Linked DNA regions of Danio rerio. Each later gene encodes a partner of the first gene's protein in a complex. Links are inferred from orthologs where the notes say so. Each region holds a gene or a part of one and is shown on either strand. Other genes may lie near its edges.

Region 1 (4,365 bases):
CCTGCTTGATATGTCCAAAAGGTGTGAGATATACTGCTGGACATCACAGTTTCAGGTGATGGGACCCTTAAGTTCAACACATTTAGACAGGATGTCATAGCCGTTAACCATCTTTACACTAGTATGCCCTCCCTCACTTATAATAACTTCAGCTCCAGACAGAATAATGTCAAAACAATAAACTATTTACCCAGCTCTACATTCGTGCAGAGAGACACTGGGGCATGAGTGTGTATACTTGCTCTCAAAGACACCCTAACATTAAGTCTTGGCCTGCCCCCTACTTCCCAAACTACTTTACCTTGGCACAGTGCGAGGGGCTAATGACAGGATATCTCCAGCCAAAGCAGACATACTGGTCAGCCTCCAACAGCAACTATCCGCAGGGCAGTGGAGCTGGGTGGTAGACATTCACATTGGCATATGCACTAACAAGCCTCCCACTGCTCATGCAGGGGAATGTGACGGGTTGAAAGGTGAGAGATAACGGTGACAGATTTGGAGGCTAATTGTTATGGTGAACCGATCTGCTAATGAAGTGTTTTTAACTAGAGGAACAGCCGTACCGTGTTCTCCATCAGCTCCATCCCATGATCTACAACGTAACTCAGCAACTCACAGTCATTATAAATCATGAAATGGAGAAAATATGTATAATGTGATCCCAATCTGTTAGTCATCAGACTTGTTGCCTTCTAGTCTTGATTTATAGGAGTGTTGTTTGGAGGAGAACATGCATTAAACAGATATTTCACCAAGATTACATAATGTAGGTATGCGAGTTCACTCATTAAGTGACATTTAACGATGGACTTCACAGTTAAGTTATATAAATTGGCCAGAGTTGAGCCTAGATAAGCAAATCTGGTTGTAATAATGTCAGTTTTAGACAAAATTACCAACAAATTACTTAGAAAAAAAAAAAGTTCTGTGGTATTTGGACACTGATTATGATTTGTTTTAGGCACGTAGGATGGTTAGTAGACGTAAGATTGCAAATATGGCTGTAATAATGCAAGCAAGCTTGTATACTTTAGTTACTAAACATATTTAGAACACTTTCAGTAAGCAAATATGGTTGCAACTCAGGATATGGGCCTTCGCCATGACAATAATATGATTTCTGTGTTTATTTTTGTTGTTGTTCTTATCATACTTTTGGCAAATTCATGCAGCCAATAAAAAGAGGCATGATGGTTTTATCTTGTATTCCTTACTGTACACGTAAATATGGCACATTATATACTAAGACAATGCGGCTTCTTTTTAAACTAACATGATGGTAACAACATTGCATTCTTCGAAGAGCATGCAAATACATTGCATATTAATATTTTCAGTAACAGAGGCTTTATATTCACACATTCATCCACTTGTGACACACTCCCTACATTGTTTACTATGGCACTTTGAATATTTGGTCTAAAATAACCTTGCAAGTATGACTTGAAAACAACATTTACACAGTTTATTTGACTGTGAACAATGTTGTACTTTGATAGTCACTAGCTGCTAATATGATTTTGCTATTTAGAGTTTACAAATAAAAATTTCATAAAATTATATTATTAAGGAGAAAGTCTGAATTTGCGAATAAAAGAACAACTTTACTTCTATTATTCAGTACCAAAGTTTACATCAAAGTATCCTAAGCAAGTATTAATTACCAAGAACAGACAGAAAGACAGACAGACAGACAGACAGACAGACAGACAGACAGACAGACAGACAGACAGACAGACAGATAGATAGATAGATAGATAGATAGATAGATAGATAGATAGATAGATAGATAGATAGATAGATAGATGACGTAAATAAGCACCTGATTATTGTTTACCTTGCCATGGTTAAAATGGTAAAAACATGCTTTTAATTCTAGTTACAAAATATAAAGCAGTACTTTGTTTGTTGACATTACGCCATTGGTAACACCATTTGAAAACTAGCATAATGGCATGTTTTAAAGGCATGTAAATAAAGCTTCATGTATAGCAGGGCTCACTATTAATATATAAAAAGATTAATAGAACAGAAGGTATTTACACTTTTTGTGCAATGTATATTTGTTAAAATGCATGTTTTACACAATCTATAAAATGTCTAGATCTGGAAACAACTTAAACAAGCACCATGTTATTATTTTGTTTTGAAAGTGTAGCAACCATTAAAAACAATGTCTATGACAGCTGTTGTAATAAGCAGCATTTTAGTAGGCTTCTGCTATTGCCTTGGTGAAAAGGTAAACTTTAAAGCAAGTGAACTGACCTCGTTGGACGGTATGCTGACAACACCTGTTGACCTCCTCTTCTCTCTTAACTTCCTCTTCTCGATCTGTCCTTTGCCCTTTCTGGCGCTGGGTCCCGAGCTCTTCTTCTCTTTGCTCTTGCTGTGTGTGGGACTCTCCTTATCACTGTCATCCACACCGGCGGGGCTCGGGCTATCCGCCTGCGGGACTGCGCTCACTTTCTCCGGCGTCTTCTTCAAGTTTCCCCCGGGCGGCTCGGATGTCTTGGGCTCGTCCTTCAGAGCGGATGAAGAGGAGGACCGAGCCACCGGATAAGAGGGCGCAGAGGAGACGCAGTTCACCGAGCTGCTGCCGTTGTTGTTTAACTCCGTGGTTCTGCCGGTGGCGGCGGCGATATCTCCAAGCATCTTTGCTCTCATCTTTTCACGCTTTGCTTTCCATTCCTCCAGAAAGTCTGTCGCGCTGTTAGATTTAAATCCTCCTGTTGCCATGATTTGCTTTCTCGCAAACGTCTCGTGTGAATCACTTTGTAAACACAGACAAGAGTACACGCACTTTTTTGTTCAGATCCGCGACATTCCTCAGAAGTCTTTCAAAATAATCACAAAGACTTTAAAGTTGTCCAAAACTGCGATGAAGTCGCTTCAGAGCAGCGTAAAGCTGTCAGAAAAGTATTGTTTTGAAGGAAAGTGTCCGGTAAAGCTCACCTGCGCGCGCAGGAACAGTCGTCAAGAGTTCAGGTGAACTGGTGGAATGAACTGGATTAGTTGCAGGCGCGCTCAAACGCCGAGTCCTGCCCCCGTTTCCGAAAGCTTACGTAAATTAACGGAAACAGCCGACAGCCTTTTGATAGCGAGCTGATGCTGCTAGGCAAACTTTTTTTAGGATTATATTATATTATATTATATTATATTATATTATATTATATTATATTATATTATATTATATTATATTATATTATATTATATTATATTATATTATATTATTGCTACAGTGTTAATGAAATAGGTAATGAGATATATGATATTATTTGTTTAACAGACAGACAGACAGACAGACAGACAGACAGACAGACAGACAGACAGACAGACAGACAGACAGACAGACAGACAGACAGACAGATAGATAGATAGATAGATAGATAGATAGATAGATAGATAGATAGATAGATAGATAGATAGATAGATAGATAGATAGATAGATAGATAGATAGATAGAATAAGCATCTGAATATGTTTTATATTTTAGTTACAAATATATAAAAGTGGTAATATGTTTGTTGACATGTCATTGATAATACCATTAAAATCTAGCATAGGCTAGTGAATCCTTTTTTAGTAATTGCATGCTTGAAGGCATCTATACATCTATAAATGACCATAAAAAGCTACTGCTACTGACACTTAAGCATTTTAAAACTATTTAATGGAAGGATGGACATGACAGATAGATACAAATTGGGAACTAAGGTGGTAAAAATGCACAGATTTAAAATGGTAACATGATAATGCCATGTTTCTGTGCTTAATTAAAAAAAAAAAAAACTTGCCTAACCATGTGGTTGTGTCAGTATTTGTTTAGTAGCACTTTAGCATTTAGCATCTTTGTAATGAATGGATAGATGAATGAATGGACTGTAAATAAGGACAGACAGACAGACAGACAGACAGACAGACAGACAGACAGACAGACAGACAGACAGACAGACAGACAGACAGACAGACAGACAGATAGATAGATAGATAGATAGATAGATAGATAGATAGATAGATAGATAGATAGATAGATAGATAGATAGATAGATAGATAGATAGATATTTCTCCGGTGCTGAGACATCAGACAATGTGTATGAGAGATGAATCTGCCTGTTCTCCCACAGGTCCTGTGAGAGCATGAGTCACTTGTTTCACAGACTTTGGCTGTTTGTGACCTCAAGACTCTCACAGATGATAAACCTCAGAGTGTTAGATAACAGAAGTGCACACAGAGTCACGCATCTGACTTTCACAATCTCTGTCAAGCCATCAAATCATCTGAAAATTGGTATTTACACATTTTTGACACGTACTAAGATATATCACAATGTCCAGAATCCTCTCTGAGGGGAAGCTGATGT
Region 2 (4,145 bases), on another chromosome or scaffold:
CTTTAAGCATGAAGACTTGTAATGATTCAATCCATTACTGAAGACTGCATTTTTAGAATGAATTTCTTCCAGGCTGTTATGAGGATTTAAGCTTGATGTATCATCTTCATGTAATAAGAGAAATATGAAAATCAATTTTATTAAATTTTTTTTCTCCAAATACAAATTTTTCTTGACTGGTTTTCTAGAAGTTTTTTTTATTTTTTTTTTATTAATTCTTTTTTTTTTTATAGCGCCACATTTTAATCTAAATGCACTGGATTTTCATTTTGCCTGTCTTCCAAAAATCACAGTGCCCTAAAATACTGATGACTCACTCTGCACTGCAGAGACCGCTCTAATTAAAGCCTACCAAAATGTGAACATCCCACCCCAATATAATTTTCAACAAGCAATACATTCAGAAAAAGGACATTTTGAATATACAGTTGAAGCCAGAAATATTAGCCTCCCTATTTATTTTTTCCTCCATATTCAGTTTAACGAACTGAAGATTCAACACATTTCTAAACAATAGTTTTAATAACTAATTTCTAATAACGGATTAATTTTTATCTTTGCCATGATGACAGTAAACAATTTTACCAGATATTTTTCAAGACACTTGTATACAGCTTAAAGTGACATTAAAAGGCTTAACTAGGTTCATTAGCTTAACTAGGCAGGTTAGGGTAATAAGGCAAGTTATTGTATAAATGTTTTTTTTTTTTTGTAGACAATCGAAAAAAATATATACCTTAAAGGGGCTAATAATTTTGACCTTAAAATAGTTTTAAAAAAAAATTATAACTGCTTTTATTCTAGTCAAAATATTACAAGACTTTCTCCAGAATATTAAATATTATCAGACAAACTGTGAAAATGGCCTTGCTCTGTAAAACATCATTTGGGAAATATTTTAAAAAGAAAAATTAAATCAAAGGGGGGCTAATAATTCTGATGTCAACTATATGAATTACCTTTAAATGTTACACAAGCAAATTAAATAACAAACCAAAAGTGTTTTAAATTATAATAAACTTTATTAGATAGTTACCAATATTATCTACATCACTTAATACAAAGAGAATGGTGGTCTCCAGGCAGAAAGGGTTTAAAAACAGGCAACCAAACTATCCCCCTCATGCTTAGCAAAATGGCTGCCAAACATGAACTAGATTAACACATCTAAAAATACTAGAATAGGGAGGGGGGAAAAAAACACAGAAAAACAACAATTGGCAATCTTACCTTCTCAGCATCAAGACTTAAGAAATAGAGCATCAACATTTGCCCACGTTTCACTCATTAACTCATAGACAAGGCACCACACAGCAGTGTCACTACTCCATTCCTGCTTTCCCCAAATCATCAACAGATTAAAACAGTCCTCAAGATAAAAACTAAATTGCCAATGTGGGTGTTCACAGGATTTAGGGGCCATTACACAAAGCAAGCTGTACAACCTCTTATTGATCAACGTATGCTACATAGGTTCACAGTGATGACATCTTTCATTCATTATAAAAAGGACTTCAAATCATGGCTCTCTCCTAATGTATCAGTATTTTGAGCCAGGCACTTTCTGATATTGCAGTGTGAATAGAGGCGAGGGACCCGTTGAGTGGTTTTAAAGAGCTAGCATAGCACACTAGCAGTGGCCGTTTCCATGAATGCTAGCCTCTAAACTCCCCCCCTCTCACAGACGTCAACGACTGTTTTTCCAGGCCAGACGGTCAGACTTACAGCTAAAACCAGGCTATTTTTAACCTGCCAAGAGTGTGCAGGGGGAGACCTCGCCTTCCATTAGCTAAAATGCTAACCGCTGCTACTGATCTGAAGTGGACTCAGCTACTACAGTATACTGACTGCAATGGGATAATTTAAAAAGCGCAATATATAAAAAGTCAATATTAACTTAAAAACTTGGTTGTTAAGTTTAACGGTCTTGAGATGGAATTTGTTTTGCATTGGCCACAAAGAGTTGCCTTGTGGACCCACAAGCTAATGACATGATACAAGAAAGCTTAAGGTATGCCAATACATCATTAAAAAAGGGGATGGAGTAAAAAAAAAAAAAATCATAAAAAGTAAAAAGGCCTTTAACAGCTGAAGTTACCAAGCCATGATTAGAGAGAAGAAGGGTTCTTGTTTTCAAATCTGCCACAGGATTCTGGCCTAAGCCTCCGGTTTGATTTCCAGTACATGAGTGAAGCAAAAGACGAATCCATGCTTGATCCTGAAAGCATCAAGCATGAGGTGTCCTTGGTTGGATTTGTAAAAACAGTATCGTTGGTACCAAGAACTATGATGAAACAGGCTTGCCAGAAAGACTATTTATCCCAGAGAGAATCCGAGGCAGTTGCTATGCCTTGAATGCTTGTAAAGGCACTACTATCATCATTGGTAGAGTAGATAGTTCTTTAGGGAGGCTGGTAAGGGCAGTCCATGGATTTCACTCAGTCGTTCTCTTCCCAATGCCACCCGTACAGAGCGCCTACAGAGGTCCATTAATGGCAGAGGTTCAGCTACAGGGAGACAGAGAAAAGACAGAAATTAAAAATTATAGCTCACAAGTATGGCAGAAACTTTAAGATCTGGGCATAGGCTGTTTTTTTTGTTGTTGTTGTTTTTTTCCCAGTCAGCACGTTTTAGCGATCACAATCAGAGATCCTCATTTACCCAAAACAGACACAGTGCAAGTCCATGACTGTGCAAGCGTTAAAAATGATTTGAGTCTATTGTGGTTGTATAATGGTATATAATGACCAATTAGGGCAAGGCAATTTGGCCTAAAATCAAGATTAATTTAAAATTAACTATTACAATTAATGAACGATTTTTATTGTTTTTTGGCCTCATAGTTCACTGACAGGTTTTGTACAGTAAATATGCTCTCATATTACAAGCAAGAGATTATTGCTTAAAGGGTACATTTCTTGATTTTGAAAATAATTAAAGGAAACTCACCATCTGATTATTTTTTGAACAACTAAAATTAACACACACTGGCTTGTTATTTGACGAGGCATGACTGTGACTATGACTGGGCAACTAATAGAAATGAAAACATTGAGAAAAGCTGAAATCTTTCAATACAGTAGGAATTCGTGGATTTCTATGCCGTGCAATATTGAAGAAAATGTCAATACATTATTCTAATACATTATTAGAAAGATTTGATTCATTATAATGGCACCAATGCACTTTGGTTCACTCTCTGTATGAAGCAAGTAGCACACCAGGGGCCTCATGCATCAACGCTGCGTACACACAAAACTTTGCGTACGCCAGGTTTCACGCTCAGAATCACTCATGTTTGGATTTATTAACGATGAAATTAATGTGGGAATGTGTGCAGCTCCACGCCAACTTCATGGCTGGCGTACGCACATTTTTTTGTGCGTGTCTTCTCAGCTGTATGAGAAGAGTTCATCCGCATGTCTAGTATACAAGGTTTCCGTACCATACAGTTGACCATCCAAACATTAAAGCACAATTTGCAGCGGTCGCCAGTTTTCCCCAATGTAATCGTAGCTATCTACTGCACGCACATTGCTATAAAGGCAACATCTGAGGATGAACTTGCATACGTGAATCAGAAACATTTCCATGCAATAAATGTGCAAATAAAATATGATGCAGACTTATTAATCATTCCTACTTGTCTTTCTCATGATGATGAAGAGTATAGGCAAAATCTGATATGTAGCGGAAAAAAAAAAAAAAAAAGAGAAAGTTTCAGACGCTTGATTCGAACAGAGTTCATGCCTGAACGTGTGAAAACATATTGACACGCATTTAACGAGCTGCACCACTCAGGCTGTTAAAGACACTACAAAATTTTACATCTTTACGTCGCACTATATCTTTTTTAATTCACTCAGTGCGATGCTCAGACCTAACTGTGTTAACTGCATCAGCTAAACTCTCCCACTCAATTTTTTTTCTTTTGTTATTAATTCCGGAGGACAAACTTGCAAGTAAAATCGTTTTTCTCCGGTCTACCTCCGAAAGCAGCACCTCCAGTTCACATTCTGTTTAAAGTTTCTCTTTTGGCTTGCTTTTGCCATTGCTTTTTCGTTGGGTTTTGCCAAAGTAGAGTCATTAGCATATTCATACGGGGGAGGAGGCAGGGAGGGGTTTTGCGCTCGTGCATGTTGCAC

What was found.
Region 2: the proteins of pawr (region 1) and spsb1 are in contact, whole or in part, in a crystal structure (PDB 2JK9), measured with the Homo sapiens proteins. The link is inferred for Danio rerio from reciprocal best matches to the Homo sapiens genes PAWR and SPSB1. Residues at the interface, in NP_001341661.1 of Homo sapiens: Glu68, Leu69, Asn70, Asn71, Asn72, Leu73, Pro74; in NP_079382.2 of Homo sapiens: Arg77, His78, Pro79, Val80, Ala81, Gln82, Gly110, Thr111, Tyr129, Val216, Trp217, Gly218.

Annotation. Positions count from the first base shown.
Region 1 is NC_133179.1:22,060,693-22,065,057, forward strand, and holds the start of pawr (PRKC apoptosis WT1 regulator protein), read right to left. Parts: upstream 3,004-4,365; 5' UTR 2,740-3,003; coding exon 2,269-2,739; intron 1-2,268. UniProt on the Homo sapiens protein: Pro-apoptotic protein capable of selectively inducing apoptosis in cancer cells, sensitizing the cells to diverse apoptotic stimuli and causing regression of tumors in animal models.
Region 2 is NC_133198.1:25,434,125-25,438,269, forward strand, and holds the end of spsb1 (SPRY domain-containing SOCS box protein 1), read right to left. Parts: intron 2,508-4,145; coding exon 2,380-2,507; 3' UTR 1,110-2,379; downstream 1-1,109. UniProt on the Homo sapiens protein: Substrate recognition component of a SCF-like ECS (Elongin BC-CUL2/5-SOCS-box protein) E3 ubiquitin-protein ligase complex which mediates the ubiquitination and subsequent proteasomal degradation of target proteins.